4 linked regions of the Diceros bicornis minor genome follow. The protein of the gene in region 1 interacts with the protein of each later gene in a pairwise test. Links are inferred from orthologs where the notes say so. Each region holds a gene or a part of one and is shown in the gene's direction. Other genes may lie near its edges. The genes, in order: TRIM39, PLCD4, CCNC and EIF4A2.

Evidence for each region.
Region 2: the proteins of TRIM39 (region 1) and PLCD4 interact in a two-hybrid assay, tested with the Homo sapiens proteins (2 studies listed by BioGRID and IntAct). The two-hybrid records come from large-scale screens. The link is inferred for Diceros bicornis minor from reciprocal best matches to the Homo sapiens genes TRIM39 and PLCD4.
Region 3: the proteins of TRIM39 (region 1) and CCNC interact in binary tests that used the Homo sapiens proteins (3 or more experiments, as listed by UniProt). The two-hybrid records come from large-scale screens. The link is inferred for Diceros bicornis minor from reciprocal best matches to the Homo sapiens genes TRIM39 and CCNC.
Region 4: the proteins of TRIM39 (region 1) and EIF4A2 interact in binary tests that used the Homo sapiens proteins (3 or more experiments, as listed by UniProt). The two-hybrid records come from large-scale screens. The link is inferred for Diceros bicornis minor from reciprocal best matches to the Homo sapiens genes TRIM39 and EIF4A2.

The regions. Positions count from the first base shown.
Region 1 is NC_080753.1:34,653,807-34,661,900, reverse strand, and holds the start of TRIM39 (E3 ubiquitin-protein ligase TRIM39), read left to right. Parts: upstream 1-5,024; 5' UTR 5,025-5,681; intron 5,682-7,076; 5' UTR 7,077-7,083; coding exon 7,084-7,536; intron 7,537-8,094.
Region 2 is NC_080776.1:8,971,980-8,979,840, forward strand, and holds the start of PLCD4 (1-phosphatidylinositol 4,5-bisphosphate phosphodiesterase delta-4), read left to right. Parts: upstream 1-4,841; coding exon 4,842-4,976; intron 4,977-6,937; coding exon 6,938-7,217; intron 7,218-7,861. UniProt on the Homo sapiens protein: Hydrolyzes the phosphatidylinositol 4,5-bisphosphate (PIP2) to generate 2 second messenger molecules diacylglycerol (DAG) and inositol 1,4,5-trisphosphate (IP3).
Region 3 is NC_080762.1:34,327,984-34,335,272, forward strand, and holds the start of CCNC (cyclin-C), read left to right. Parts: upstream 1-4,270; 5' UTR 4,271-4,348; coding exon 4,349-4,401; intron 4,402-7,289. UniProt on the Homo sapiens protein: Component of the Mediator complex, a coactivator involved in regulated gene transcription of nearly all RNA polymerase II-dependent genes.
Region 4 is NC_080754.1:37,266,122-37,273,638, reverse strand, and holds the start of EIF4A2 (eukaryotic initiation factor 4A-II), read left to right. Parts: upstream 1-4,499; 5' UTR 4,500-4,661; coding exon 4,662-4,769; intron 4,770-4,855; coding exon 4,856-4,988; intron 4,989-5,096; exon of another isoform or gene 5,097-5,165; intron 5,166-5,266; coding exon 5,267-5,406; intron 5,407-6,202; coding exon 6,203-6,371; intron 6,372-6,485; coding exon 6,486-6,595; intron 6,596-6,642; exon of another isoform or gene 6,643-6,767; intron 6,768-6,836; coding exon 6,837-6,980; intron 6,981-7,023; exon of another isoform or gene 7,024-7,201; intron 7,202-7,295; coding exon 7,296-7,433; intron 7,434-7,486; exon of another isoform or gene 7,487-7,517. UniProt on the Homo sapiens protein: ATP-dependent RNA helicase which is a subunit of the eIF4F complex involved in cap recognition and is required for mRNA binding to ribosome.

The DNA.
Region 1 (8,094 bases):
GAACTGATAAAACCTCTCTGGGAAGTGGTGTGGAATTATCTACTAAAGTTGAACATATATTTAACCAGTGGTCTAGCAATTTCACTACTAGAATTATTCACAACTGTGAGCACACACATGTAAATACACACATGAACACTCACAGCAGCCAAAAATTGGCAAAGTCCAGAGTCCATCAACAACAGGATGAATCAATTATGGCAGGTTCATAAAATGGAATACTGCACACCAGTGAAAACAAATGAACTACAGCTACACGCAACAACAGGTGAATAAAAGACGTAACATTAGCAAAAGAAACCTGACATACAAAGGCATTCAATATGCGACTCTTTTTACATTAACATAGAAAAACAGGCAAAACTAAACTACATAGTATCTAGGGACACATACTTAGGTGGTGGTGAAGCTATAAAGAAAAGCATGGACAAAAATACCGTAGAGGTCAGGGCGGCTGTATGAGAGGGAGGGGGTAATGATGAAGAGGTGGCACAGGGGAGGGGGATTTCTGAATGGCTGGCAATGTTCTATTTCTTGAGCTGGATGGTGGTTCCATGGTGATTTTTCACAGAAATATCACTGTGCCACATTTTTTAGCTTTACGACTTTTCTGAATGTGTCAATTTCACAATTTAAAAAGGTATATCTGTATCTGTGTACCTACCTACCTATCTAGTTTTAAAGTAATTAGGGGAAACAATTATTCTTCATTCTCATGGTTTCCTTGAGATTTCCCCCCAATCACTCCCCCCTCCCTGACCCCTGGCCTTTTGAGGACTGATGTAACCAGCAGTTTTTAGAGCAGAGCTGAGCATGCCTGGCCCAGCTCCTTGCCCTTTTCGTCTCAAATCTTAACACAGAGGGGATGATTTCTCATCTGCTCCCAGCCATATGGAAACTTAGCTGGCAAGTTCTGATGGCGGGGGAGGGGGCAGCCTCAAGTGTTGGGTGGCAAGCTCAAATCAAGGGAGAGTAAGCAAATCAACTAGCTATTTCTGAGCTATTCCCTCCAATTAGTTTCATAAAGCTAATAAAGGTGGTATTTTAGTCTCTGTCTGACTCTTGTATCTCTCTTGTTCTGAAACTGGTAGGGAGAAAAGAAAATGTTATTTATTGTGCCCCTAAAATCACAAGAACAAATAAATGATCTTTTTCCCTAGCACAAGAGATAAGTTCACTATTTTCCTTTCTTTACCACTGACAACCAGGGAGTAACCTCCTACATATGGTAGAAGTCAACTTTTAATTAAAAAGCAACAAAACATGTAATGAGGACCTATACTATTTATATTTGGAATCATAAATGATACTACTAAGATTACTTTTTTTAAAGTTAGTGACTTACAATCTTAATGAGTTAATTAAAAACTTACATAGGTCAGGGGGTAGAGGGAAGCAAAAGAACAATTCAGAATATAACAAGGTACTAAAATCCCATGCTCAAAGGCAATCTATAATGGCAGAAGTTCCAGAATGAGAGAGGCCAGAAAATCCACACAATCAATAGCAGTGTAACGCTGGGCAGGAAAGCCAAAGGCCTTGCTAGCTGAGACTTGGTCTGCTTTCCTTGGTAAAGCTGTAACACCCACCAGTAAATTTTTTAAATATGAAACTTTCAGCAGTGGCTCCACAGGCTATCTTGTAATATGCTGATGTGGGTATAAATAGGTACACTCTTATGGGAAGGAAACTGGAGGTCTCCATTCAAATTTTAAATTTTCATGCCTTTTGACCCAGCAGCCCAACTTCCAGGAATTTGTCCTACTAATACACGGCATGACAATCTAAAAATATATGTGCAAATATATCAAATTATTATGTTGTACATCTAAAATTAATACAGTTATATGTCAATTATATCTCAATAAAACTGGGGAAAAAAGATACATGTCCAAGAATGTTCACTACAGCCTTTATTTAATAAGACTTGGAAAGAACCCAAATACTCGTAATAAAATGGTTGAATAAATTATATATCTTCACAATGAAGTAATAATACAGACTTGAAAAAGAGTGAGGTAGCTCTATGTTACTGAACTGGGAAGATAAAAGCCAGTATAAAGTATAATAAGCAAATTGAAGACTGCTTCTATATGTTTGAAATGTTTCATAATGAAAAAAAATGGTGAGAGAAAATTAGATGTTTTGCCTTTTCTTAAGAATCTCGGAAGTCTGGACAGTTGAACCCTCTCCCTACCCATCCTACCATATTTGACCTCAACCAATTTTCCACCTGCACTGCTAATATATCTATTTCCTCTATATGACTCAGTGGTTTCAAGATATCTTTTATTCTCCTTTCCAGATACAAAAACAATATTAAAAATATATATTAAAAAAATTTCTTAATTACCCTGTATCTCATTACTGTAATTCATTTTTGTACACTCCTGTGTTGGAAATCTCTTGGTATAAATCAACATTACAACTCAGCGTTATTCCACCTCTCTGGAACTACAATCCTTTTTAATTTTAAACGAAGAATACACTTCCTTGTTCAAAGAATGTACTTCTACCCTAGTACATAAATCTCAGTCCACAAAGTTTCACAGGTCATAATAAATTTGTGTTAAGAGCTCAGATTTCCTTTATTATTATTTTGTGTTATTATATAGACAGATGGAAATAAGAGATCATATCATTGTGTTCACTCTCTTTCCCAATTGTTCTCTCTTGGAAAATACCATGTACCTCATTATTGTTCTATGTCAGAGGTCAGCAAACTATGGTCTGCTACCTGTGTTTGTATGGCCCGCAAGCTAGGAATGGTTTTTACATTTTTAAATGATTGGGGGTAAAATCAAAATAATAATATTTCATGACGTGAAGAATTTATATGAAATTCAAATTTCAGTGTCCATAAATAAAGTTTTATTGGAATACAGCAACGCTCACTCATTTAGTATTGTCAAACGCTGTTTTCACACTACAAAGAGTGTGGGCTACAAAGCTGAAAATATGTCCTATCTGGCTCTTTCCAGATAGGTTTGCCAATCCCTGTTCTATGTCATACTACATGTCCTTCATAATTTTATAGTTTTACCTAGACATTTTCCCCCCTCTCCTTCCATATTCAGCATAAAATCTTAATAACCTATTAGTCTCCAGGCAAACACATTCTTCATAATCCTTGGAAATGCACTTCCTCCTGGGAATTTCCTTAGTCTAACCACATCCCTGCTCACCTACAGAAAGCCAGAATGGAGGGCTAGTAACACCTTAAAAATTACAAATGAACAGATCAAAACCAGAACCAAACCTCACAAACACCACTCTCCCTCTAAAGCAAGGCTAAAGAGGCTGACCGCCCAGTTAGTGGCCTTCAAACTACCCTACCTTAGAACTGAGGCATTGTGTGAACTAGGACAAGTACTGCTGCAAAAATGCCTAATGGCCAAAAAGCAATGAGGGGGAAAAAGTTAATAAATGTAGTTTTCTCAAGTTTAATCCTCTTTAAATCATGGACTCCGGAAAAACGTGAACGAAAAACAAAGGAACAGTAAAGAACAAGTAGACAAACTGTATTTAGATGTGTAATCCTAAATATTTATACCTTGCACATTTGATATTTTCTGCAAGTAAATAGTTTCTGGCTCCCAGAATGAGAGGTTAAATACTCCACAGTGTTCGTAAACAGCATCACAACTTAAAAACATGTTGGGCCATTGGGCCATTTCCTCTCGGAGGGTACACCAAAATCTGTTCATCTCTTTCAGCCGACATTCTGCACGCCAAGTGTAGGGGCAGAGAGGGCAGGGCAAGCTGCCTTTCCTACTAGTAGCGTCATACACTCTCCTCCTCAGCCCCATCACACCTCCACCCAGCACTAGCTCCTCCCCAGCCCCATCACACCTCCACCCAGCACTAGCTCCTCCCCAGCCCCATCACACCTCCACCCAGCACTAGCTCCTCCCCAGCTCCATCATCTCTACTCAGCACCTCCTCCCCAGGCTCATCACACCTCTCTCAGCGACTTTCCCAGCCTCATCACCTCACCCTCTTCCTCCAACGTCACAGGGCTGCGAAGCTTCCAGCAGCAGGAGAGGAAAGCAGCGAGGCTATAATGCAAAAGTCTGGAGTCCTCACACAAGCACCATCTGCTCTTGTGCAGAAACTCAAGTCACAGTCCCAAAAGTGGAAAGAACAGGCCTTGGCCCGCATGCAGTTAACGGGTGTTTGCCGCGCCCTTCCTGCGGTCGGGCCCCGACCCAGGAGCTGAGCATACAAAGGTGAACAGCGGAGTCGCAGTACCAGCTCTCTCCGGCCTCCCACGCTGGCGGGGAAGGCAGATAATTTCAACAAAGGCCGCCACGCAGGGGTAGGGCGAGGAGTACTTGAAGCCCACAGTAGAGAAAACTCACCTAGTCCTTGAATGTTAAAAGGCTAAAAACTCAACTAATCGGAAGTGACGTGCCAGCCGAGACCGCAGGTCCGCCAATTACGTAATTGGCCGCCGCCTCCACTCGCCACCTTCCCCCTGGACGGGCCGCAGAGAGGAGAAGTGTAGCTCAAAGTCCGCGACCCGCCCTTGCCCCGCCCCCGGCGGCTCCCAGCCCCACCCGGGACCAGACGGGCCTGGCCAGAGCCCAGGCCCGCAGCCTGCACGGGACAGCCTCGCCGGTCCCGGAGCCCGTCGGCGCCCTGCGGGCAATGGGCTTCAGCGCTCAACCTCGCGCATGCGCGGCCCTCTTTCCCCGGAGGATTCCTCGGGTCACCTGGACGACCGCATTTCAGCCACCTGCCCCTCCGGGTCCCTTCTCGCCCCCGACTCCTCCTGCTGGTTCTCACCTCCGGCCCCCCGCCTTCTCCTTCCTCCACAGGCACCACTAACCCCTCCCGTGGCCGCCCGGCAACACACCGGCTTCCACTGACACGAGCCTCTCGGCGCGGTTTCCGCTTCCGGCGAGTATTGTGTGTCGCGCTGCGGGGCGGGGGCGGGGGGAGGAGGAAGGAGGGAGGCAGCGCTCCGGCGGCTCCGCGCCCCGCACTCCCGGACCCGAAGCCGGGAAGGTAGGTGCTGTCCCGCCGCCGCGCCGGGCCCTGGGGCCTGCCCCCGCCGGCCGGCTCCGCACGCCGCGTCCCAGCGCCCCGCGACTGCGTCACCAGCCCCCGGCACGTAACCACAGCTGCCTCCGCCCGCCTCGGGCCCGGGCGGACGTTTTGCCGCCCCGGCGACGTCAGCGCGTCCGGCGTTGCTTGGCTACCCCGCCGTTCCCCCGTCCCGCTGCGGCTCGCCGCCCCGGGTGAAACGCTGACGCCGTCACCGCGGGTCTCGGCTGCGTCATAGCGGCGGGCATCCCACCTTCACGTCACACCTACTCCTCACCTGGACACGCACCCCTCCCTCCTCTCCAATCCCCCTGCGCCAGATCTGGCGGGAGAAGATGGAGACCGGGGTGGGACCGAGTTGCGGACCACGCTCAGGAGAGGGTCGCAAAGTGGGACCCCGGACAGTGCTAGAAACAAAATGAGGACGTCCCTGAAGTTTGCCCTTCTACTGAGACACGAGGAATAGAGGGAAAGAAATGACCAACCCAGAGCCACCTGAGGCCTCGCTATGGCTGTAGCTCCAAGCCCTCTCCATACTTCCCTAACCTTTTCCCCATTTCTCTTTCACACCACTTCTTTGCCAGTCCAGATCCATCCTGGTCCCTAACTGCATACAGTTCAACTCACTCCAGGTGAGGAGGCCACCTAATTTCTAGAAGATTGGGGAAGGGGCAGGGTCACTAGTCAAAGTTGGATTTCCATAGGTAGAGAAAAATCGAACTGAACTCCTCTCCTGGTTGAGGGAAGAAATTCAGATCCAAATAAGTTATTAACTCCTACTCCAAATTAAACACTTTTCATGTGTGCCATCAATATATACAGCAATAATCATTGTTAACCCAACTTATCACGTGGCCACTTATCTATCAGCACATAGACCTACTAAATTTCCTTCTTTTGAGTCTCTTGGGAGGGAGGAGGAGGGAGGGTGGACAGGAGGGGTTATGGGGATAGAGAAATCAACTATTTCATGGATAAAAGAGGTGACATTTTAAGGATAGAGGACCAGTCTTCTGCTTTATAAATCTGTTTGGTCCATTTCCAGTTCTTGAGGCTTCACTTGAGGGAGGTTTTGTTGCCTCTTTTCTTTCTTTTAATTCCCAGCCACTCTAGAACCTATTAGTTGGAGGCACAGTATGTCCAAGGACTTAGTTATCAATAGCTATTTCAAAAGACTCCAATCACTGCTGAATATTTAGAACAGACTTGTCAGCCTTCTTTTCAAGAAGTTGTTGGCCTGGGCTCAGTAATATACTCTTTACTATAGTTGCCATGAATTTACCACTTTTCAGCAGTTGCAAGTGTCCAAATGCACACAAATAGAAATGGGATGTTGTGTGAATCATTTCATTCCAAGAAGAGAGTACACTTCCTCTAGGCTAGTCTGATGAAAGGAAGAATTTCAAACTTTCCTGAAAAGAAGAGGTTGTTACCCTTGCCTAACTCATGCCATTTATCGCCTTTTGAAAGAGTAAGAGACCAGTGGCAGAGAATCAAGCTTACCCTCCCATGGACTATTGTAATAAAACTCTTTATAACATTAAACTTTAAAATATAGTTAATTTAAGAAATCTTAATTAATACTTTGACTTCTATGGCTCTTTTCACTTTCCCAAACTCCTTTCTAACATATTAGAAAAATATGTTAAACTACAGATACATTAGTCTAGAACTGTTGGTTCTAAGATGTAAGTGTATCAGCCTGGATCAGGAGAAATACACTGGGTTGAAGGAAGCCTCTGTTTCTAACAAAAGAAAGCAGAGGTAAAAGACAGAAGAAATTGGGGGTTGCGTGTCAGTTTGGTGAAGAAGGAAAAAAATTAGATTGATGGCTGGGAGTCACAAGTTTTGGAAATGGAGAAACAAAAGACGGGTTGAATTTAGTGGAAGAGAAGATGTAAAGCACCAAGATGGCGCTACATCTGGAGTTAGGATATAACATGGGGGTAAATGTCAGGCTAAGGATGCAGAAAAATTAAATCTCCAACTAATATTTTTCTTTTATCTGCCCCCTTCCTATTCCCAAGTTAAATAATGGCAGAGACAAGTCTGTTAGAGGCTGGGGCCTCTGCAGCCTCCACAGCTGCAGCTCTGGAGAACTTACAGGTAGAGGCGAGTTGTTCCGTGTGTCTGGAGTATCTGAAGGAGCCCGTCATCATTGAGTGTGGGCACAACTTCTGCAAAGCTTGCATCACCCGCTGGTGGGAGGACCTAGAGAGGGACTTCCCTTGTCCTGTCTGTCGAAAGACATCTCGCTACCGCAGTCTCCGGCCTAATCGACAACTAGGCAGTATGGTAGAAATTGCCAAGCAGCTCCAGGCTGTCAAGCGGAAGATCCGGGATGAGAGCCTCTGCCCCCAGCACCATGAAGCCCTCAGCCTCTTCTGCTATGAGGACCAGGAGGCTGTATGTTTGATATGTGCAATTTCCCACACCCACCGGGCCCACACCGTCGTGCCACTGGACGATGCCACACAGGAGTACAAGGTGGGGAACCAGGCGCATGATGCCAACAAGAGGGAAGAGGGAGGAGCACAGAGGATAGGAGACTCCCTGGGTAGAGGATCAGATGCTCCTGAGGGCAAGATGGTATCTGATCCTCATTCTGTAGTCCCCTTAGAGCTACATATACAGTGAGCACATAGTACACCTGATCGGTTATCCTCAAGCATGAAGAAGAGCAGTGGTGAGGAGTACCGCAAAATTTCTCTCTGACTTTTGTAACACCTTTGAGTATATGTGGTCTTGGAATGTATCATGTCTTTCATAAATGAATGAAACCACATGGAAAAAATCAAACTTAGGAAGAACTGAGAAGTAGTCTGGTTTCTTCATTCTCTCCCCCTGCTCAGAATGTCCCTTTTTTTCCCATTGGTATTGGGAATAGGCACCATAACTTTAGCCTGATCCCCACCAGACTAAACTGAACCAGTCTGTAGTTTGCATCTTCCCCAGATAATGGATAACATGGCATCTGGTTTAACTTACTGCTGGGACGCAGGGTAAATGTTTGAGTAATTTGAACTAGAGATTTTAATGTCTTAG
Region 2 (7,861 bases), on another chromosome or scaffold:
CACCTTTTTGCAGACATGACTGATAAATAGCACGTACTTGCATTTTGTTTTAGGACCGTTTCTGAAAGTTTTGTCTCTTACTATGGAATATTACACCGTTAGTGTTTTTTTATCTTAACTTTTATCCTTGCGTTCTCTGGTTTATTTTATACCTCGTCCTTCTCCCTCCCCTTGGTTTTTTGTTAGTTTTTTAAATTTCCTGGAATGGTGGAGTGGCTATATTTTCTCTGGTCTTTTGAAGTTATATATCCTGGCTTTTAATTCTACAGATGGTCTCATATGAATTATTTTTTAGATGGAATTTAATATTTTGAGTTGCCTTTTTGTCCACCAAGAAGATGGGCTTTATTTCAGTTTGAGTAGTTTGGTTGGATGGGCTAGGGAACAGGTCTCTGAATCCCCAGCCTGAGAAGCAGAGACGTTTAGAACACCTCCGCTGGGTGTCAGGAGGAGGGTCTAGGCTGGCCTGTGTGGCAGCATGAGAGTACAGTGTTTAGGTCTGCCTCTTTGCCAGCTGCCCCTTCATTTCAATTTAGGGCTTCTAGGCCTTTTCTGGGCATGGTTCCCAGAAAGTCCCTCTGCTGCTGCCGCTGCCCCGATCAGGTTTCTGGATCTGTTAATAATAGACAACAGTGGGGGAAGGGCTAGGATCATTATGGAAATAGGAACAACTAAACCAGATGGACAGTTCCTGTGCCCAGGGCCTGTGTGTCTGCTCCCTTCCTGGATGTAAACAGCATCCTTCAGCGGGCGTGTCTTCTAAGCCACACTTTGGAGCCACTCTAACCTTTCGAAAGTCTCCAATGGCCTGTCCCAAAATCAGAACACAAGATCTGGGGAGAACTAGTGTGCTTATGAGAATACTGAAACAGAATACTTGAGATCTGGGCTCGCAGAAAATCCAGGATGAGAGAGAATACCTCTCACAGAACACCCAGAAGGGAAGGAGGTTGGGCAGCAATTAGGGGAGCAAATGGTGACTCAGAAAGAGGCAAACTGTGTGTAGTCCTGGAGTGTAGAAGAGGAGTGAGGAATGAGAAGGGGAAGCATGGAAAAATAAGGACGTGAGGTGTTGGGGAAGTAGAAATGGGAGAGCAAGATGAGCGTGTGAAACAGAGCCTCCATTAAGTAAATCTGAAATCCACACAGTTTAAATCTTGGTGCCCCCTAATCTTTCTGTTCCCCAGGAAGGGCCTCTCTTTTCTGCCTCCACTCCCCGCATACTCCTCTTCCTTTATCAAAACCTGCTCTCAGGGGCCGGCCCCATGGTGTAGCAGTTAAGTGTGTGCGCTCCACTGCTGGCTACCCGGGTTCGGATCCCAGGTGCGCACCGACACACCGCTTGTCAGACCATGCTGTGGCGGTGTCCTATATAAAGTGGAGGAACATGGGCATGGATGTTAGCCCACAACCACTCTTCCTCAGCAAAAAGAGGAGGATTGGCGTGGATGTTAGCTCAGGGCTGATCTTCCTCAAAAAAAAAAAAAAAAAAACCTGCTCCCAGTAGAGTATGGTAAACTCAACCTAGGAATAAATTATGAAAGACCAATAAGGCTTCAGAAATTACCAGTTACAAAAACTTGAAACCCTTTTCTTGTAAAATATAACAGATATAGAAAACTACATAAAGAAAATGTATAGTTTAATAAGTTATTATAAAGGGAAGACCCTTGTTAGCGCCCAGGACCAGAAACAGAACTGGCCAGCTATTCCAGAAGCCAGCCTTGTGCCCCATCCCATCACAACCCCTCCCTCCTCCCCAAACTAACCACTATCCTGACATTTATGGTAATCACTTAGGAGGATTTTATTTTAATGGGACTAAAGGTTTAGCTATAAATAATCACTAATGGCAGAATCTTAGGCAGTTGAGGGGTGTTGTGGGGGGGCCACGGCAAAACCACGTCCTTTCATACAGTTACTTCCCTCTGTGCCTGTGATTCAGATACACCTCACTAGAAAGGATCCCACAGAGGTCCAAGTACAGGGCTGTGCCCTATGCCCTCACTTACCGTCACCCTCTGGTCCAGAAAGAGCCATACCCTGCAGTCTTCCCCCAGGTAGAGCAAAAGCAGGTCCCAGCTCACAGTGCTTAGGGGAGTACAAGGGACTGGTTGTCCCTGCTGCTGACACAGGCATCCAGGACATTGCCCTGGGCCTCAGTTTCTCACTGTGAAGCAAGGGGCCAAAATAAAGCCCTTTACAATCTCCTATTCCTCTCCCAACTTGGTCCTCTTTCCTCAGTCTAGGTTTGTTTCATCTGCCCATTTATTCACCCTGTAAGAAGCTCCTGACGTTCCCTTCCCCAGTTGGGTGTCTTTCCAGTCTTGTGCTCCTCTTCTGCCCTCGATTCTTACATATTATGAGTCTGTTCATCTCTACACACTCCTTTACGAACACGCAGATATGTCCTTGCATATTGAGGGGCTGAACAAATGCTCGTAGAACCAATGAATGTAAAGGAAGGATAAGTATATTGTTTCATACATTCACGTATGCCTTCCTTCAATATTTAGCGAGTGCTAAATCTAGCGAGTGCATAGATACTAACCTGTCCCTCTACACTCCAAGATCATTCCTCTCCACGCTTTCTTCTCATCTGCCTCCGTTCCCATCCTATTTCTGTTTTCCTTTCCCTGTGCCACAGAACTAGACTGAGTGCCCTGCAAGGCAGGATGCGGAGACACAGAAGCAGGCTGATGGAAACAGACACCCTGGAAAGGAGCCAGATGAAATAAGGGCAAAGACAGCCAAATAACATGCAGAGAGAAACGGACCAGAATGAAAAGCAGTGATTCATGGAACACTGCAACTCAGACACTCCTTGAGTTTCATTTTGAGAGCTGCTGTGGGATTGGGGTCAGTGAGGGCTGGCATCCAGGTGAAGGGCAGCCAGGCTCCTCCTCCCTGGAGACGTGGTGCCCATCAATCCCTCCCCTTAATCCTTTTCTCTCCACCCCACTGACCAGTGTCCTGGGCCTTTAAGAGCTCACACCTCTCCCCACCCTACTCGTTCCCTCTGGCTGTAACTGCTAGTGACAGCAGCAAGCTGCAGTAGAAGAGGGAAGGAAGCAAAGGAGTACGAGAGGAGCAAAAGAGAAAAGGAGCCTGGCTGGGTTTCCTCGTCCCACAGTGGAGAGCATCGCGGAGCTCACAGACGCAGGACTGCTACCCTGCCCACGGTAAGGGCCTGGAGGCTCTGACCAGCCTCTGCTCCAAGCTCTGCCCTCCACATGCTATCTACTCTGCTTAAATTGTACCCTGGACTCCTTTGCCTGAACAGGTCTAAAAGGCTCCACCTTCCTGGTTCTCTCTAGGTTATCCTCTTTGACTTACGGTTTTCCCCTTGCTGTGTCAGTCACCTCTGTATATGGGGACCTCTTAGCTACCCCACCCTAGTAAGGGAAGAGAGAGAATAGGAGTAGCCATGCTCTAGCTAGTTGGACCACAACTTCCAGATCTGTAACAGGAGGGAGTTCAGGGTTTCCCAGACTTGCCTGTGTGTCGGGGGTGCTTGTGAAAGATAAATATTCCTGCGCCCCATCCTTGGAAATGCTGATCTGGTCGATTATGAGTGGGGCTAAGGAATCTCTATTTTAAGATACTCTCCAGGGAATATTGATATAGCCAGGAACCTCCGGATTAGATATGTTATAAAAGAGTCTTCAAGCTCTAACGTTCTGAGGGCTATGACCTATGACATATGACCAGAGCCATTCTGTCCTCCTTATGTGAAGTAGGTCAGGAACAATCCTGCTCAGAAGCAAGAGAGCAGACAAAATGATTTTCTTCCTTCCTGCCCCTCAGAGAGGCCTGAGACACCCTGAATTCCCCTGTAATGCCACTGGCACCACTGGCAACTCTGCTGAAGTCCATCTCTAGGTGACATAAGCCACCTGGAAGTTGAGGAACAAATCTTGCTCCGCAGCCCTGGCCACTTGCCACCTTACTTGTGTCTCTGTTTTCTTATCTGTATTATAGAGGTAGTTTTCCGTATCCTCAGGGATCTCCACATACGTGTCTGGGAGTGGACAGTTAAGACCCAATCTTTCTTACTCCCAGTCTTCGTCCTCTGCTCTTTGCCCCTTGCTCTTGCTCCCACTCCCAAATCCTTTGTCCCTCCTCTCCTAACTTCACTTGCATCAGCTGTGACCATCCTTCCCATCCTACCTTCAGACACCAGAGGAAACACCAAGACCTAGAACACCTAGGTTCTAAGTGCCATTCTCTGGGCAGTTTGTTTGGTCAGTCTCCTAGGATACAGAGGAAAGTGAGGCTGAGCAGAGGAATGTGCTACTGAGTGTCTGAGCCCAAGTGTCCTCCTTCCTGGACCACAGTCTCAAATCCTCACAGAGGACGAGAACCAGAGCTATTGGGAACTGGAGGAGAAATGAGAGGAAGAGGTGATGGGGAGAAGGGATGAGAAGAAGGATGAGAAGAGGAGAGCAAAGAGAGGCTGACTTAAGTGAGCAAATAGGGAGGCAGTGAGAGGAATCAAGAGAGAGAAGAGTGAGCTGGGGAGAAAGGAAAAGGGAGGGTCAGGCAGAGGATGGGGAAAGGAAAGAAAATAGGAAGAAAGAAAGGAAAGGCTATTGAGTGGGATTTGGTGGGAACAGAAATGATGGAGGAGAGAGGACCAAACATCCATGTCCCTTGCTGATTCTTAGCTCTGCTTGAACCTGCTTCCTAGAGAAAGCCCTTTCTAAGGGCAGAGTCTTGGTGAGATCTCCAAGCTGGTCATATAGAGACCTTGGTTCTAGTCTCAGTTCTGCCACTTAATTCATTAGGTGACTCCGGCAGTTCAGCTAATCTTTCTACTCCTCTGTCCCCTTCTCTATAACATGAAGGCCAGCTGTGACTTTCTGTGGCTCCCTGAGTTGAAATTGGCCCTCTTATGGCCACACATCCCTGGATACAGGTTTAAGATCGTGCTTCAGGAACGGAAGCAGGACTGGAAGAACACGCCAAGCCCTGGGGTTGGAAGAGTTTGACAAAAGAGGATAAAATAATTTTCTAAGGCTGGTTTGAGAGGAGGTAGGCTCCAAAATAGGGGTGTCCTGGCACTTGGGCTCTGTTCTCAGGCTTCCCAGGTTTCAGGACATCATTGTGAGGCTCCTGGACACAGGCATGAGAGAAGGTAATTCTGTCTTCTCCCAGGACCAAGGCCCATCCCATCCCAGAGTCCCTGTGCCCCAGACTGGGGAGCTGAAGTTCAGAGAGAAGACAAGGCAGGATGTTGGCAAGGGGATTGGACTTCATTCCCACACTGACCCCACCCCCACCCAGAGCCTGAGGACCTGAGGCATTTAAGAGGGACCTGTTACTTTCTACTTCCGTCTTCATAGCTTTTGCAAGCTTCAGATTCCAAACTGTGCATCTCCACCCAGAAAGGCAGAAATGCTGTTCTGTCTCCCAGGAAGCACTCTGGGTCCCTTCTTCCATCCAGAGGCTTCTTCTGGTCTCACCCAGGCTCACATATTCAGCCTCAGCCAGCAAAACCTTTTCTTCTTGGAATTGTTCAGGATTCTGTCTCTCCTGAGAGCTGCCTTGAGTTATCTTTCCCACTTAGGTACAGGCTGATTCCCAACCTTCCCCTGTCCCTCTGTGCACCTGCGCATTGCTACTCCTTTAGAAAGTCTTGGGCTCTAGGTCCTGCAGTCAGGGAAGCCGCATTCTCAGTGACTTCCACATTCTTCCTAAAGACTTAGTCACCCCTGGGTGGCTTTATAGGCTCTTCCCACTAGAGAGAGACAGGGCAGTAATACGCTGTGTGACCCCAGATAAGTCAGATCACATTTCTGACTTCTGCTTTTTCACTTGTAAACTATAGGGAGTTAAACTGCATGATGTTTTCATGGAGCGCTAACTGAATGATTGCTTTAGACATTCTTTTGGTGTTTTAGATGTTCACCATTGTCAAAATTTTAAACTTGTCAATTAAAAAACACAACATTGCAATTCAAGTCTAGACCCTTTGCTTATACAAAAGCCTAGAGTTTTCTGTTTCATAAGCTTTGCCAGTTTCAGAAGGATTTGGTCAAGAGTTGAGTATTTCTTATAGGGGCAGAGCTAGAATCAAAGTGGCCACGTATCACACCTTCTAGTTCTTTTCAAGGCAAGTTTGTTGTTATCTACTAGGACAACTTAACCAGGTCCTAAATTAGCATATATCTTGAAGGAGGAACGCTTTTTAATAGGTAGAGAAAAAACTTGAAAATGCAGTTCTGAAACTATGTAATTTATCTGGTCCATTAAAATTGTGAGAATAACTGTTATGAAAAAGAGTATAAAATATGCTTTACCATGTGAGGGTAGAAGAAGATGGCTTATTTGTTATAGAAGAGACAAAAGAAACGCTCTGCCCTAGCCCTTCAGGAGCCCTAGCATGGAGAGGGCTCCCAGAATAGGGAAGGGATGATTCCACCTGGAGAAGAGAAGGCTAGATGTAGAGAGATTCCAGGTTCTGAAAGGGGGCAGCCAGCAAGATGGTGGTTCCTAATAACGGGAGCTGAGAAGTGTGGCACGGGGTTACCTAAGGGATTTGGGGGTATTGGGAAGGAGGGAGTATTTGGCAGAAAACCCTGCTTTAGCCCTCTCTGGAGATGGCTGTGGGAAACAGCAAATGCTCTGGAATCAGACATACTTGGCTGTAAATTCTGAATCCCTATGTGACTTGAGGCAGATTTCTTAGCCTCTCTAAGCCTCAGAGCCACCAAACTCAGAAGTACAAAGAGCTACAGACTCTGTAGGTGAAGGGCTGACACATTGCGAGCAGTCAGGAAACACTGGTTTCCTTCTCTTCCTCCCTTGATCTGTGATTCTAAGACCGGTGAGATGAGCCTTTTGCTCCTCCTTGCTCCTTTAGGTGACTCTAGCACCAGCTGGTGGAGCAGTGGGTGATGGCGTCCCTGCTGCAAGGCCGTGAGTACCCCTGCAGGAGAAGAGGGCTTGGGGAGACAGCCCAGGGACAGGGAGGAGGCTGGACCCCTGTTCCCGAGCTCCTCCTGGGCCCTCCACCCTCCCCACCAGCTATCCAGCCCCCGCTTCTCCTGGCCCAGGGCTGCCCATCAATCAAGACCTGCTGCTGATGCAGAAAGGCACACCAATGCGCAAGGTGCGGTCCAAAAGCTGGAAGAAACTGAGATACTTCAGACTTCAGGATGACGGCATGACAGTCTGGCATTCCCGACAGGCCGGAGGCAGTGCCAAGCCGAGCTGTGAGTGATGTGCATAGCTATGGGTGGGCACGTGGGTGCATAGGACCCTGAGGAGCCCCACAGCCTGAGAGCAGGGGGGGGTCCTACAGTGTGCCCTTGTGCTGTCCCACTTGTGTCTATGTCTGAGCCTGTACAGTGGAAATTATAATGGAACTTGCCTCTAAAGGCCGTTATGACGATTAAATTAGTTATTGCACGTAAAGGGCTTAGAAGAGTCCTGGCATATAATAAGGCCCAGTAACTCATAGGTTGTGTCTTGTTATTCTTATTCTAACAAGAGCATGATCTCAGGCATCAGACTGCCTGGATGAAAGCCCTGGCTTGCCACTTTCTAGCTGAGTGGCTTTGGACAAGATACTTAAACTAAGCTTCAGTCTCCTCATCTGTAAAATGGGGATTCAACAGTACCTGCCTAGTAGGTTACAGAAACTCAATAAGTTCATGTATAAAGCATCTAGCCTGGGACCTGAAACCAGGATGCGTTTAATAAATGTGAGCCATAATGAGGAATATTTTAAAATATCATACTTGCATCATAACGCTGTGCTTCCTATTGGCCAAACACTTTATGGTCCCTCTAAACATATGATCATGGGACACATCTAAGAGAGTCTACTTTAGAGACATAATCGAAGCTCACGATC
Region 3 (7,289 bases), on another chromosome or scaffold:
AAACCAGAAAGTAAATTCCAGAATCCCCCAAACTGTTTGGGGATTCCAAACCTAGGAGTGTCCAGGGTAGAACACAGCATGAGTTAACCGGCACATTGTAAATCAACCTATTTGATTATTGTTCCCTGTGGAGTACAAATGCATTAAAGTGTCAAGGGCTAGTGTTAAGAGAGAGTGTACACTTACCTAGTGTATCAAGGTAGCACTATTATCCTAATCTCTCAAAACAGCTCTTTATAGTCCAGATTGTAGGATCTAAACTTGTTTTAAATAATAAAAGCTGCGAGTAAAAAAAAAAAGTAAAAGCAAAGAGTTATTGAGCTCTTACCATGTACCAGGCACTATTCTAATTTCATTTAAGATTTATTTAAACCTCACCAGAACTCTATGATTTAGGAAGTATGATAATTGCTGTTTTACAGATGAAGAAACTGAGGTTTAGAGTGACTAAGGAGTTTGACCAAGGTTACTGCTATAGACTGAATGTATGTGACCCCCATTCATCTGTTGAAGCCCTAATCTCCAATGTGATGGAATTCGGAGGCAGGGCTTTTTGGAGTTAATTAGGTTTAGATGAAGTCACAAGGGTGGGGCCCCCATGATGGGATTAGTGTCCTTATTCTCTTTCTCTGCCTTGTGAGGACTCAGCAAGAAGGTGGCCATCTGCAAGCCAGGAAGACGGTTCTCACCAGGAACCAAAACTGTTAGCACCTTGATCTTGGACTTCCCAGCCTCCAGAATGTGAGAAATAAATGTCTGTTATATAAGCCATCCAGTCTATGATATCCTGTTATAGCAGCATGAGCTGACTAAGACAGTTACACAACTGTAAGTGGTAGATCTATCACTTGAACCCGATCAGTATGGTTCAGAGACTGAGTTCTTAACTAGTACGCTTTATTGTAAGTTAGAGGTTTAGCCATCTTCAACAAGTACAGGTATCCAAGAATTAAAATAAAAGGAGGCACAGTGAATGACTAGATAGAGAAAAGGACATTTTCACAATAAAGACTATTAGTACCAAAGCAAATTACAATCACAATTTAATTAAAAGTGAGAAGATAGTCCCCAATAATAGTGTTTGGGAGGAGAAACTTCAACTACAAGCCTGGAATAATGTGTTTACAGTAGTTTAGTCATTACAGTTTTATTGAAACTGGGTTGGGTGAAAAGTTGGGTGAAAAGCTCATTGCAGGGGGAATCAGAAGAACTGGATTCTAGCTATTCTTGCCACTAAGTAGCTAAGTAAGCCTGATAAAGCCGCTAAACTTCTAGGCTCTAGTTTCTGAGAAATAGTATTCATGCTGCTGGAGAAAGCATTGTAAGAAAAAAATACTTTTTTGTCACAGAAGAATCAACGTTAGCATCAATAATTTACTGATCACATCCCTATTTGAAAATCACAAGGTAAAGGAAGAATTAGACGAGACAAGACTGATTGATTTCAGTAAATTTAAATTCTGTGAGTAGTGAGGACTGAGAAATAATACTCCTAAAATTATAAGGAAAAGTTTAACAAACTATCAGCAAAAAGAAGCAAATCTACATGGCTCATCATCTTTTGCATCCAGGTAAGCTGGGATATGTAGGCATTTTAACAGCTTTTGTAAATTGCTCGGTCCCCCCAGAGATATCCTTAAATGAAGTTCATTTTGGTTCAAGTCAATTCAATTCAACCTACATTGATCAAGTACCCTCAAAGATGATTTACCCTGAAACTAATGAAGCATAAGCTCAGGACCCTGACTTGCATGGCCACTGGGAGCACTGGGAGCTGCTGAGTATTTGGATTTCTAGGTGGGGAGCAGAAACCAGGTTGCAGACAGGAAGCATTTCTACGAAGCATTTCTGGTAAATTGCCTAAAAGAGTTCACAGAAGGAAGGGACCTAAATCTTCAAGGCTCCAGTAATTTGTTGTGATTTCTTTTCGCATTCTAAATACTCAATTTTCAACCTAATTTTGTGTCCATAGTGTTATAGTCTTTTTCTTTAAGCACCCCTCCCACCACAATTATATAAGAGTCAGGTTCAAATACCATATCTGCTGTGCCTAACATGTGTTATGCCCTGAACTAATGGAGATACAAAGATGAAGGGGCTCACAGTTTTATGGGAAGAAGAGTACAGAATAGATATAAAACAGAATGCTAGTCTAGTGGTAGAAACAAAGCAAAGTAAGAGGAGCAAATAGAACAAAACATTTAACAATACTACTTTGTCGAACTGTGCTTATCTTCTGGATGGTGTCAGGCTGACAACCTGGGAGTTGAAGAAATTCTGAACCTCTGTTAAGTAGCTTATGGCCTGATGTTCCTAAGCTACTGTCCTGCAAACTTTTTTTGACTGGGATCTGCAACATAACAGACAATAGTGTTTGTCAAATATACCACATGCTTCCTACATCTCTCAGCCTCTCTTGCAGTTAGATTAGAGGCATGAGCCTATTTTGGTCAACAGGTCCTGAGAGGAAGTGATTGTGTTGTTCTCTGGTTCAAGTCTCTTAACATTGATTAAGAGCCAGTGAGAGTCCTCTGCACTCTCTCTAGAAGGGTTTTAAGCCTGGAGGCAAAAAACCAAAATGGAGTAGTTGAAAGATGGAAACATACTAGATGCTTGAAGATGTGGAGGATAACCACCAGGGAGAGCAAACTAGTCTACATCAGACTTTATGGGACTTGATGGGAGTGACATGTGACATAATATATTTTTACGTTAAGCTACTGACATGCATTTCACATTTTGATTTAGTACATATATACATAGGTAACTAAATCAAAATTTTAAAATAATTCTCTTGCTTTTTCTGACATACCTGATATTTTGTTTTATTTCATTTGGGAAAATACTTATCATACTCAATTTCACCACACCCTAAGTGGTCTCCACCCACAGTGAGAAAAATACTGTCTTAAGGTACCTTGGAACACGGATCTTCCATGAACAACTTTCAAGTGTGTCCAATTATTTTGAAAAATAATTAGAACTTTTACAATAAATGCGATGTCACAATGATAATAGAAATGGGAAATACAGATTAGTTCATCTTGCAAAATTAAATTATTTCATTTTGTCTGTATGTTTTTATTTGGTACATCTATGTGAATATACATGTGTGTACATATTTACATATACATATATATGTAATAGAGGAAAACGTTTTTAGCTGTTCTGCAAAACTGGCGGTTCTCTAGATTTAAAAGAAAACACTGCTGCTCTACAAGTTTGCGCTTCACTCCAAAAGAATTCCGTTAACAACGTATTCGGCTTGCTGCTGGTAGGTTTCGGTAGGTCCTTTTTTTTTTGTGAGATCAGCCCTGTGCTAACCTCTGCCAATCCTGCTCTTTTTGCTGAGGAAGACTGGCCCTGTGCTAACATCCGTGCCCATCTTCCTCCACTTTATATGGGACACCGCCCCAGCATGGCCTGGCAAGCGGTGCGTTCGTGCGCGTCTGGGATCCGAACCAGCGAACCCCAGGCAGCCGCAGTGGAGCGCACACACTTAACCGCTTGCGCCACCCTGCCGGCCCCTCGGTAGGTCCTTGAGGCCAAAATAATCTTTATTTTTCTTTCCAATTGCAGGAGAAAGAATTAAAGTCAGAAAATCTTATACTTTAATACAATGTCATAGTACTGCTGTGGAGGCCTATAAGACGAAACACCACCACCCCGAACAGCGCTACTTCCCCCATTTCATCCGTACTCCGGTCAACGGTCAACGTGCGCTGCCCACAGACGACCGAGCCCGGACGGCTCTAGGGCAGGATCGGCGCGAAACTCTCGCGAGAGCCTCCCGATCGCAGCGAGCCTTCGGGAGCACCAGTTCTCGTCTCCCAGCTCAGTGCGCGCGCAAGCTATCTCCTCCCCGCCGGCTTCCTCCGCTACCGCGGGAGGAGGAGAGGGCGGAACTTTTATCCATAGGAACGGATTTATGCAGTAGTGTTGCCGGCCGGCGTCAAGGCGAATACGGTGCCATCCTCTTCCTCTACCGTCGCCGCCGCGGAGCGGAGCCGAGCAGATCAGATTGAGGAGCGCGGTTACCGGGCGGGCTGGGTCTATGGTCGCTCCGCGGGCCACTCCGCCGGCTGGTGCTTTTTTATCAGGGCAGGCTGTGTCCCATGGCAGGGAACTTTTGGCAGAGCTCCCATTAGTAAGTGTGGCCTTCCGTCTTCTCGCCCGGGGCCGGCTCTTTCGGGGGCGCTGAGGACGGGCCTGCGACTCGGCTTGGCCTGGATCCCGGCCCCTGTCCCGACGCCGCGGGGTCTCTCGGGAGGCGGCGGCGGCCGGAAGCGGGATGCGCTCTTCTCTGGCGATTCCCCTCTCCCAGCCCCCTGGCCGGGTTTAGGGGGGAATGATCTGTGAGCGGGAAGCGGGGGGAGAGGGTTCAGTCTCCGAGGAAGGAAGGTTCGCGAGTTTAACTTCGGGTTCTCGGATTAGCTAGGCCTGGGGTGGGGGGGATGGGGTGGGGACAGGTATGGGAAGTGTGACACAGTCAGGACTGAGGCTGGCTCTTGTGGTTCGCTTTGGCCTGGGATCTCTTCAGGGGATCGGCATCGTCGTCCTTTGTCATTCCTCCTCTGTCTTGAGTGGATTTGATGTTATTCCGGGGAGAAGGGGGAGCCAGGCTTGTTCTCCCACTAACCGCTTTCTGCCACTACTTTATGCCTCGATGGAGTTTTAGGTTGGTAAGGTCTAGGGCAGGTGCTCTCAGAGTTTATCCATTTTGTTAGTCTGTGCCATATGTTTTATTTTGCAGTGACTTTGCCGATTTCTTTAACCTTTTTCATGAATAAGATATTGTTTCTGTCTAGCTCTTCCAGGAAGAGCTAGAGTAATATGAAAAACACTTGCCCCCTAAATGTATTTGTTTAATTAGGCAGGAAGATGGGTGATGGGACTAGTTGAACTTTGACCAGGCTTTCCTCTGTGCAGTTGAAAGGTGAACAAAATCTGAAGATGATACCTTAGTGTAAATAATTTTTAATGATAAGAGCATTAGTAACTGTAACTTAAATTTTGATTCTGTGAAGAAGACGGATTTCTGTTATTCTTTTTTTTTTAGCCCTTTGCACGAAAAAAAAACAGTGGGCTTGGAAACCTATTTTTAGAAAAGCAAGTTTTCCTTTTGCTCTAAAGCGATTCTGTGGAGAGGAAATGCTCTAGAAGCTTTACTTCTGATCATATTTTTATTTTACACTGTTTTCACTCACTGAAATATTTGCTTGGGCAAAATTAAAATACAGAAAATTTAGGTGATGGAGAAGAGAGATGCTGATAAACTTTGAAAGAAGCTGAGAGAATTAACAGGTAGCTAGCTGTTGGTTGTCAGAAGTTATAGCGGTATTCAACTTTCTAAAAAAAAATCCTGCCTCCCTTTTGATAAGTGTTTTCATTAGGCTTTCATTTACTGTTGGCATAATGAGAACACTTATCACAAGGGGGGCAGGATCTATTTTATAAAAGCAATTATTTTTTCACTTTTCAAATATAAAATTATTATAATATTAAATGTGGTTTTTTGAAACTGTCCTTGCCTCCCAATTCAAATAGTCCTGGAGGAAGGGGCCACTTTGCCCTACTCAGATCCCTTGCGAATCATGGAGCCCATGATCTGCAAAAGGTAACGAGTATGAAAGACAAGACAGTCAATTCTGGAAAAGCAAACAAACAAAAAGATTGTGAAAGCCATTGTTTTAGGTGATTTTGGTGAAAAGGGAAAATTGACTTGAAATATGCTGTATTTCATGGCTCCAAGTTGCACATTTTAACATTTCTGAAATCAGCATGGCAATTTTTTTTCTTAGTAACACATAAATAATGATGAATCTTAGAATTACAAGTCGTATTGGTTTTACCTTCCATACTATGTGAAATTTATATTTTTAAAAACATAAAATGACTGTAGAGATGAAATTAGTAATAATTCTGAAACAGAGTGAATCACAATATTTTCCACAAAGTTGAAGTAGAACACAGCACATTCTTTCACCAAGATGCAGTAAAACTAGAAGGGTGCTAAATACTTGCTGGTTGACTGAATGAATTAACAAACAGGTAACAAAGATAAAAACTACAAAACCAACTCTGGATACTTTATTGTATCAAAGAGGTAACTGAAAATACAGTTACATAATATCTAGGAACTAACATAATAAGATCAATATATATCCGTATCTATGGGATTATAGCTGGCGCCAAATTTAAGAAAATTAACATAACTGAGAAATCAACATAATTGAAAATTTAACTGAATAACTAAGAAAGAATAAAAATAAAACAAATATTCTACTTAAGAATATTGAAAAGGAAACAGTGAAATAAACCTAAGAAAAACAGAAAAAAAGACTTAATAAAGGTAACACTGATAGTAATGTATTAAAAGGAAAAAAAATTGTCAGAAGTTATAAAGAGCTGGTTCTTTGGAAGAGAAAACCAAAACAAGATGAAACTACTGCTAGCTGAATCAAGGTGAAAAGGAATGATACAAAAATACAAAGTTAGAGGGCCAGCCCGGTGGTGCAAGCGGTTGGGTGCTCGAGCTCTGCTGTGGCGGCCTTCGCCGGTTCGGATCCCGGGTGCGTACCAGCGTACCACTTGTTAAGCTATGCTGTGGCCGCGTCCCACATAAAGTAGAGGAAGATGGGCACGGATGTTAGCCCAGGGCCAGTCTTCCTGAGCAAAAAACAGGAGGATTGGCATCAGATGTTAGCTCAGGGCTGGTCTTCCTCACAAAAAAAAACAAAATTAGGAATGAGAAAAGTAAATAAACCCAGATGTACCTTTGGGTTGTTTCCATGGTAGTAAATTTGAAAGCCAAAACAACTTAAGAAAGTTACCAGAGGGATACTACTTAAAAAATGCTCTAGGCCCACATTATTTCAAGGATAAATTTTTTCTCAGTTTTCAGGCGAATCTGCTGTTGACATTGTTCCAGGTCACAGAGAAAGAAAGCTTTCCAGTTCTCTTTATGGTGCCATGATAACGCTGATAAAATCTAGCAAAGGTAGCACTAAAAACAGTCTCACTTTTGAATATTGATGCAAACATAAAATATTACCAAATGGAGTCCAGCGTTACATTAAAAGTATAAAAAAATGACAGTGATTTTATTGTAGAAGTATAGTCAATATTGGGAAATCTGTTAATAAACAGTGAAGGCACCAAGAAGACATGTAATAAAATTCAACATCTATTGACTAGAGCTTTTACTAAAACGTAAATAGGATGCTTTTGTAATGTGATAAAAACATACCAAAGCATTAAGAGATATTTGATGGTGAAACATTAGGAAA
Region 4 (7,517 bases), on another chromosome or scaffold:
AAAACAGGAAATTGACAAGATTAACTTCTTTTCATAACAAGGTAATCTTATTCAATATTTACAGTAACCCTCAGGTACCCGGCTTCAGGGGTACTGTTCCAGATTAAAAGAAACTAAAGAGACAGGACCACTAAATATGATGTGCGATCCTTGATTGGATCCTAGATTCTTTTTTTAAAAGGCTATAAAAACATTATTGGGTCACCTGAGAAACGTTGAACATAGTTTTGTAGATATTATTGTATCGATAGTACATTTGCAGGGTATAATATTTTTGTGGTTTTAGTAAAGGAGAACATCTTTGTTTTTAGGATGTAGTGCTGATTAGGAGTGGTCACTACTATGTCCGTAACTTTCAGAAAGTTCAGAAAAAGTCACAGATAAATATGAGAGAGAGCAAATGCAGTAAACTGTTAACAATTGGTAAGCGTGACAAACATTTGGTATTCATTACTTTATTCTTGGAACTTCTTTTCAGGTCTAGAATTCTGCAAAATAAAAGCTGGCCCCACCTCAGATGAGATCTACTGAATCTGAATGGGAGGGCTGAGTTCACATGTATCTGCATTTCAAATAGATCTCCCCATTGATTTTTATGCATACCACAGTTTTAGATGTACTGATTTGAAGTACAATAATGTACACTTACTTTACTCTTCACAAGGGTGGAGCTAGAAAAACTTCCATATCTTGGTTCCACAATAGAGTTTAATAACCTTGGATTAATGGATTTAAACCCAGTCCTTATATAGTTCAACAGTCCCTTCCACAGTCCTCCTCAATTTTCTCCATTTACTTCAACGCTATTAACGTCTTTACTTATCTTCATACAAATGGTTTTAAAAGTCATTGTGAAAAATGTGGCTGTGAGTGCCACTTTCCTAATTGCTTTGGAGAACACTGCTTATATTCAAGCAGAATCTAGCCTCTAATTTCCTCTAGCAACCGAATAATAAAGAAGTGAGTAGCACTACAGTCTCTATCCAGCTCAAAGTAATTCTTTTTAAACATTTAAATTATAAATGAAGGGACAGCATATATTATACTGTGTTTTTACTATGGTATTACTACTAATAATTTATTATTATTGACATTATTGACTAAATGACATTAATAAGTAATAAATGAGTTAAAGATCCAAAACACATACCTTCACAAACTTTTGCATATCAATAGCTTATCAAGATACTGCTTTAAATGGGTAGCTATCACTTAATATCAACTCATGGACTTAAAATAATGTAAGAACCTCAAGATGGCACACAATACCCCCTGAATGAGAATACATGGTACTTTCCATAGGAAGATGTCACTAGCAGCATAAAGCATACTCAAGGTTTTGTTATTGTTTTTCCATGTCATACTAACAAATTTGTACTAATTCCTTGATTCTTCTGGCGAACCTTGGCTTACAGTTGCTAGATGGGTTTAGAATTGTCAGCTGAGGCTATTGAAGATCAAAACTAAATATGTGGGGCTGGCCCGGTGGTGTAGTAGTTGAGTTCACATACGCCACTTTGGAGGCCTAGGGTTTGTGGGTTCAGACCCCGGGCACAGACCTATGGACCACTCATCAAGCCATGCTGTGGCAGGCGTCCCGCACATAAGGTAGAGGAAGATGGGTACGGATGTTACCTCAGGGCCAATCTTCCTCAGGAAAAAGAGGAGGATTGGTAACAGATGTCAGCTCAGGGCTAATCTTCCTCATTTAAAGAAAAAAAAAAACTAGACTAGGTGGCTCACATAAGGAAAGAATCTGATTTTTAGCATCATTTGCAGTATAAATTTTAGGCCTCACTTGCTCCAGGTTGGCAAAGAAGCACTTATACTTGACTTTGAGAAGGCTATCTAATTTTAGATGTCAGGTAAGTAGAAAAGTTTATATTAACCATAAGTGTATGCTCTGTGTCTGTCGATATGCAAAACTTTGTTAATATGAATGTTTTGGATCTTTAACTCATTTATTACTTATTAATGGTATTTAGTAAGTGTATGCAACATGGTAAGCACAGCGTTTATTAGAAATACATTGTAGAGTTGCAGGCAATGTGGGTCTGGATTTTGACTGGATTTTAGGCTATGAAGCTTTCTTACCTTGAAACCCCTTCAGCAATTGTGACATAAACCAGAGTTTAGCCCTTGATTATTTCCTCTTAAGAAACTCTGGAAATCCTCACAGCATGTAGCAGTAGTGCTAAACCTAAAGAAAACACTCAACAATTAGGTGTTAATTGTTGATTGATTTCACCCTAAGGACTCAAGTGAGACTAAATGGTTGGTCACTTTTCTGATTTAATATTTTCTCCAGTTTCTCAGATTCCCAGGAGAGTTTTAGTAGGTTTTGGACGAGACAATCAAGATCCCTAACTGCCATTCTCCGAAATGTCTGGTATTACCTCAAATATGGATTTGAACATTACAGGGGGATAAGGAGCAGCATCACTGACAGCCAAGTCCACTCTATCTCTTGGTATTAGTTTTTGTGACAGTTCCTGGCACGATAATAATTTTCAAATAAATAAATGGTATTTTGAAAAAAATATATGTGGTATTTAGAACCAAATATCATATCAAATATAATATACAAATATAGAAAATTAAGTTAGTTTTTCCAGTTATCAGACTTTAGGTTGGTCTTCTGAATTAATAAGATGTTTTTCTGAGTATTTGTGATGATATCTTGCAGCGTGGGTAGTATTGTATTTTAAAGTTTAATGACTAAAAATATTGTTTTGTTTTTATCAATGGGCCTGGGTTAGGGCTACAGTTGAAAACATCTGGGGCTTAAAGAATCATGCAGTTTATTTAAGCAGCAAGGGTTGTATTCTCAATTTCGATAAATCAGCATTCATTATATATAGGCAATTAAAACTCAAAGTGCTTTGAAAAAAAATAAGTAATATAGACCAGAAAAAAAGAGTAATATAGACTAGATGGGTCCCAAAGCGGCAAGGAGCTGTATCTGCCAGAAGCATCCATTTAAAACCTTGTGTTACAAGGAAAATTACTCCTCCTTAGTATTATCCATTTGCAAAAGTTTACAATGATTTTATCAGGCATTCCTTACACCTGTTAAAATTATTAGCATTTTTTAAAAAAGCAAGACCAGAGGCAACATGAGGAGAATAGAGTTGGCCACTCCAGAGATCTTTCCACACGACACTACACATTTTTTCTCGCCCTGCACAATGTCTGGTAAACCAGATTTTCTGGGACGTGCTGGGTGGCCGGCATTTCCCCGAGCAGGAGTTGCACACTTTCAAGACCTTAATGCATGTTAAGCCCGCGGGCTAAAGGCCAGGCGGCTCTTTATCATCACGTTAACCAGCGGCGGGAACAAGCGGAATAACGCGATTCCCCTCCGTGCAGAATGCGGACGTGCCTGCCTCTGCGGCATCCAGCGCCGGTGCGAACAGCGAGACCGGTCCCACTTGCCCGCTGGGAAGTCCGGCCGTCCAGCGCGCCTCAAGCTTCCTTCCGCCTCCCGGTCCCGCTCGGCTCCCCGCGCCGCCTCTGCGTCGGGGACGCGGAAACCCCGTAGGAGCACGGCGGGCGGGGAACGGGGGCTGGGCTTCAGCCCGCTGCAATATTCTTCCGCCGCAATGCAAAGAGTCCCAAACTTCCCGCAGGGTCCTGGGATTTCCAGCGACCCTGTAATATTGCGAAATAACCAAATTTGGATTTTCCCACCGACAGGCTTGGGGTATTTTCTGAGGTAAGGACCTCAGGGTCACAATTTTGTGGCTGACCGAAGGGCGACGAGTCAATTCCTCCGCAGAAAACGGGTTCCGGCCGCGAGCCTATAAAAAACGGGCGGCGAGGTCCTGCTGTCTTTTCAGTCGGGCGCTGAGTGGTTCTCCGGATCATGTCTGGTGGCTCCGCGGATTATAACAGGTATGGCTATTTTTCGGTAGTGTTTTGTGGTGAGGGTCATACGGCTGCAGAGGAGACTGTAGTAGATGGCTTGGAGGCAGGGAACTTTGGGTTCATAGGCGTTTTCTTGGGGTACAATACCCCTGTGTCCTTCGAGAAGCTTCCACGGTGGGTAGGGGCCTGGATTGCGGGGAGACGAAACGAGTCTACGGAAACGGAGTGGTTAAAGGTATCATTTTTCCTCCTGAAGATGCTTTGAAGTCTCTGCAGTTTCCCTGCCCGTGCGGAGCACGACGTTTAGTTAAAGGCGTGGCGCAGCCCGCATTCGGTGCAGTGTAACCGGGGCCGAGGGTTTAAGGGCGGCCAGCAGCGCGAGTTGAGGTCCTAGACTTGAGGCGGGGCGGGGGAAGGTGACAGCGGCGCCTACTCGCCACTGCAGAAGGCGGATGGGGCCGCGCCGCGACGGAGCCCTGGCGGACCGTTGGCATAGCCCTCGCCAGGCCTCGGCCCGCGTCAATCACCCGACTTGCGCAGTGTAGGGGGCGGAGCTCAGCTCGTGGAGCTCTCGCGAGACGGGCCGCCGCCGAGACGGGAGCGCCGGGCGCTCGGGCCTGGGGGGAAGGGCCGGTGTCCGTGGGGCCTTTCTGGCCGTCCCTGGTGCTCAATCTCTGGGCAGGCCCGGTACGTTACGTGCCCTGCACCGCCAGCTTCCTTTGCTCTTTCAGGAAGTGCACACGTGCGGGGGAGGCTAACTTGATGTGACAGGTGCTGAAAGCGCTGTCCCCCTGATGTGCCGTTTAAGTTGGCTTGGGACAGGGATGTGCTCTAACGGAACTATTCTTGTCAGCAGAGAACATGGCGGCCCAGAGGGAATGGACCCCGATGGTGTCATCGAGGTAAGAGATGTGGGTGGATTTTGAAATTCTGTAAAGGTGAGTTGGTTCGTCTCATTCATTAATTTTTTTTTCTTCTAAATTTGCAGAGCAACTGGAATGAGATTGTTGATAACTTTGATGATATGAATTTAAAGGAGTCTCTTCTTCGGGGCATCTATGCTTATGGTTTTGAGAAGCCCTCAGCTATTCAGCAGCGAGCTATTATTCCTTGTATTAAAGGTAAAAGAACTCGGTACTTTTTAAAAAATGAATTCAGTGTCCTACATAGACCTGGACCATAAAAGGGGAGATAACTTCTGGGGGACTAGCACCTGTTTGTATTCCTTTAAGTGAAATGATGGCAATCATCTTTCGGGACTGACCTGAAATGAAGAGAATACTCATTGCTGATCACTTGATTATTTGGGCATAATTCATGTTCCAAATGGAATACATGGTGTGAACTAGAAGTGACGGTTTGATGTGGGATCGGTAAATATGTATCCTACTTTTTTTAGGGTATGATGTGATTGCTCAAGCTCAGTCAGGTACTGGCAAGACAGCCACATTTGCTATTTCCATCCTGCAACAGTTGGAGATTGAGTTCAAGGAGACCCAAGCACTAGTATTGGCCCCCACCAGAGAACTGGCTCAACAGGTATTGATAGTGTAGTTCAAAAAAACTGCTTGCGTGTTGCATAGGTTTCAGGTTTCACAACTGTGAAGAATTTACAACTTAGTATAAATTGGTCCTGTCAGAGTCCTCCTTTTAACTACCCATGCATGCAGGGAGTTTTTATTGAAAGTTCAGCAGGAACTGGGTGTGCAGGTATGTTTTTCAGCGTTGTGTAATGTTGAGAAATGGAAGCTTGCTATCCAGGGTGGACTAGATCTGTTCCCATTTTTGAGTTTGAATGCAGTTGTGCAACATGAAAACTGCAGTGACATGTTATCATTTGACTGTCTCAGTAGTTTGTGATGCATCTGTTGCATGCTGTGTTTTCAAAGCTCACTGCTATATTGGCTTTGAAGTAAACCTTGCTAATAAAATTAGGCGCTTTTTTCCTTTAAGATCAAGGTTATGTAAGTCACAGTACCTTGTGGGAAAAATTGAAAGTATCAACAGCTTGTCCTAGCTGTAATTGCAGAGCTTGTTTGCTATTTGCATCTTCCTACACAATGAAGAGAAAATGTAGGAAATGTTTTTCGTTCTTTAACCTCGGTGGTATCTGGGGCAGCAGGATCCCAAGTTTGACAAGGCACAAGAAAAGACATGTAAAGGGAATTTTATCTTGAGGCAGTTGGATCAGTCTGCATTTTAAGCTTGGAAGTAGTTGAGTGCTGTGCATGCATAAAAGCTGTTTGCAGACTAGATATTTGCCATTATGCTTTGGAAGATTAGTCACAGAGCTTGTAATTCTGTTGGATGATAATTAAGGCTTTTGGCTTTTTAGATCCAAAAGGTAATTCTGGCACTTGGAGACTATATGGGAGCAACTTGTCATGCCTGCATTGGTGGAACCAATGTTCGAAATGAAATGCAAAAACTGCAGGCTGAAGCACCACATATCGTTGTTGGTACACCAGGGAGAGTGTTTGATATGTTAAACAGAAGATACCTTTGTAAGTATTGCTGTCTGTTGAGAGTGTAGTTTGTTTTTACTATTGCTAAAATTAAAAATTTCCAATGTTATTCCTGAGAATCGAGAGATGATAGTATGACTTTGTTTTTAACAGCTCCAAAATGGATCAAAATGTTTGTTTTGGATGAAGCTGATGAAATGTTGAGCCGAGGGTTTAAGGATCAAATTTATGAGATTTTCCAAAAATTAAATACAAGTATTCAGGTGAGCTTTATTTCACTCCCTCCTATAGCGGAGGTCAGGTGTAATTAATGCAGGTACTGTTACAATACAACTGAAGTGTTTTATTGTCGTTCCCCCTGCTTAAAGCAATTGATGCATAACTGTCTCTGTCTAGCACAATTCCATAGTAAGACAGACGCTTGGTCTCAAACATTTTTTGAGTATTGTGAAATTGAATATTATGATAATTACTTGTTTGACAGATAATCATTGTCTTTTTTAGGTTGTGTTGCTTTCTGCCACAATGCCAACTGATGTGTTGGAAGTGACCAAAAAGTTCATGAGAGATCCAATTAGAATTCTGGTGAAAAAGGAAGAATTGACCCTTGAAGGAATCAAACAATTTTATATTAATGTTGAAAGAGAGGTAATTTAATTAACATAAAAATGTTAGCCAGATTTTTTTTTTATCCTTCTTGTATAAGCACTGTGCTAAAATTGCAGAAACTAGGATCACATCTTGGTTTTTGTAATAATGCTAGCAGAGTATACACAAGAAGAAAAGTAACTGCACTGGATTGTAAAGACTGGGGTGGACCTCTTTCTTAATGTCCAGTGTCCTTTGTCTTAAGATTTGGTGCAATATGTCCTTAGATTAACTTAATAGATGAATTTCTAATGAATGTAAGTTGGAAACTAAATTATTTTAGTGACTGCTGAATTTCTATATGAAATCTTGTAGGAATGGAAGTTGGATACACTTTGTGACTTGTATGAGACACTGACGATTACGCAGGCTGTTATTTTTCTCAATACAAGGCGCAAGGTGGACTGGCTCACTGAGAAAATGCATGCCAGGGACTTCACAGTTTCTGCTCTGGTAAGAGGTGTTCTAACTTAGTAATGTTAATAATGCTGTTTGTATTTTCGTTAAAGCAGGATTCAGACTACAATATAGCTGTTA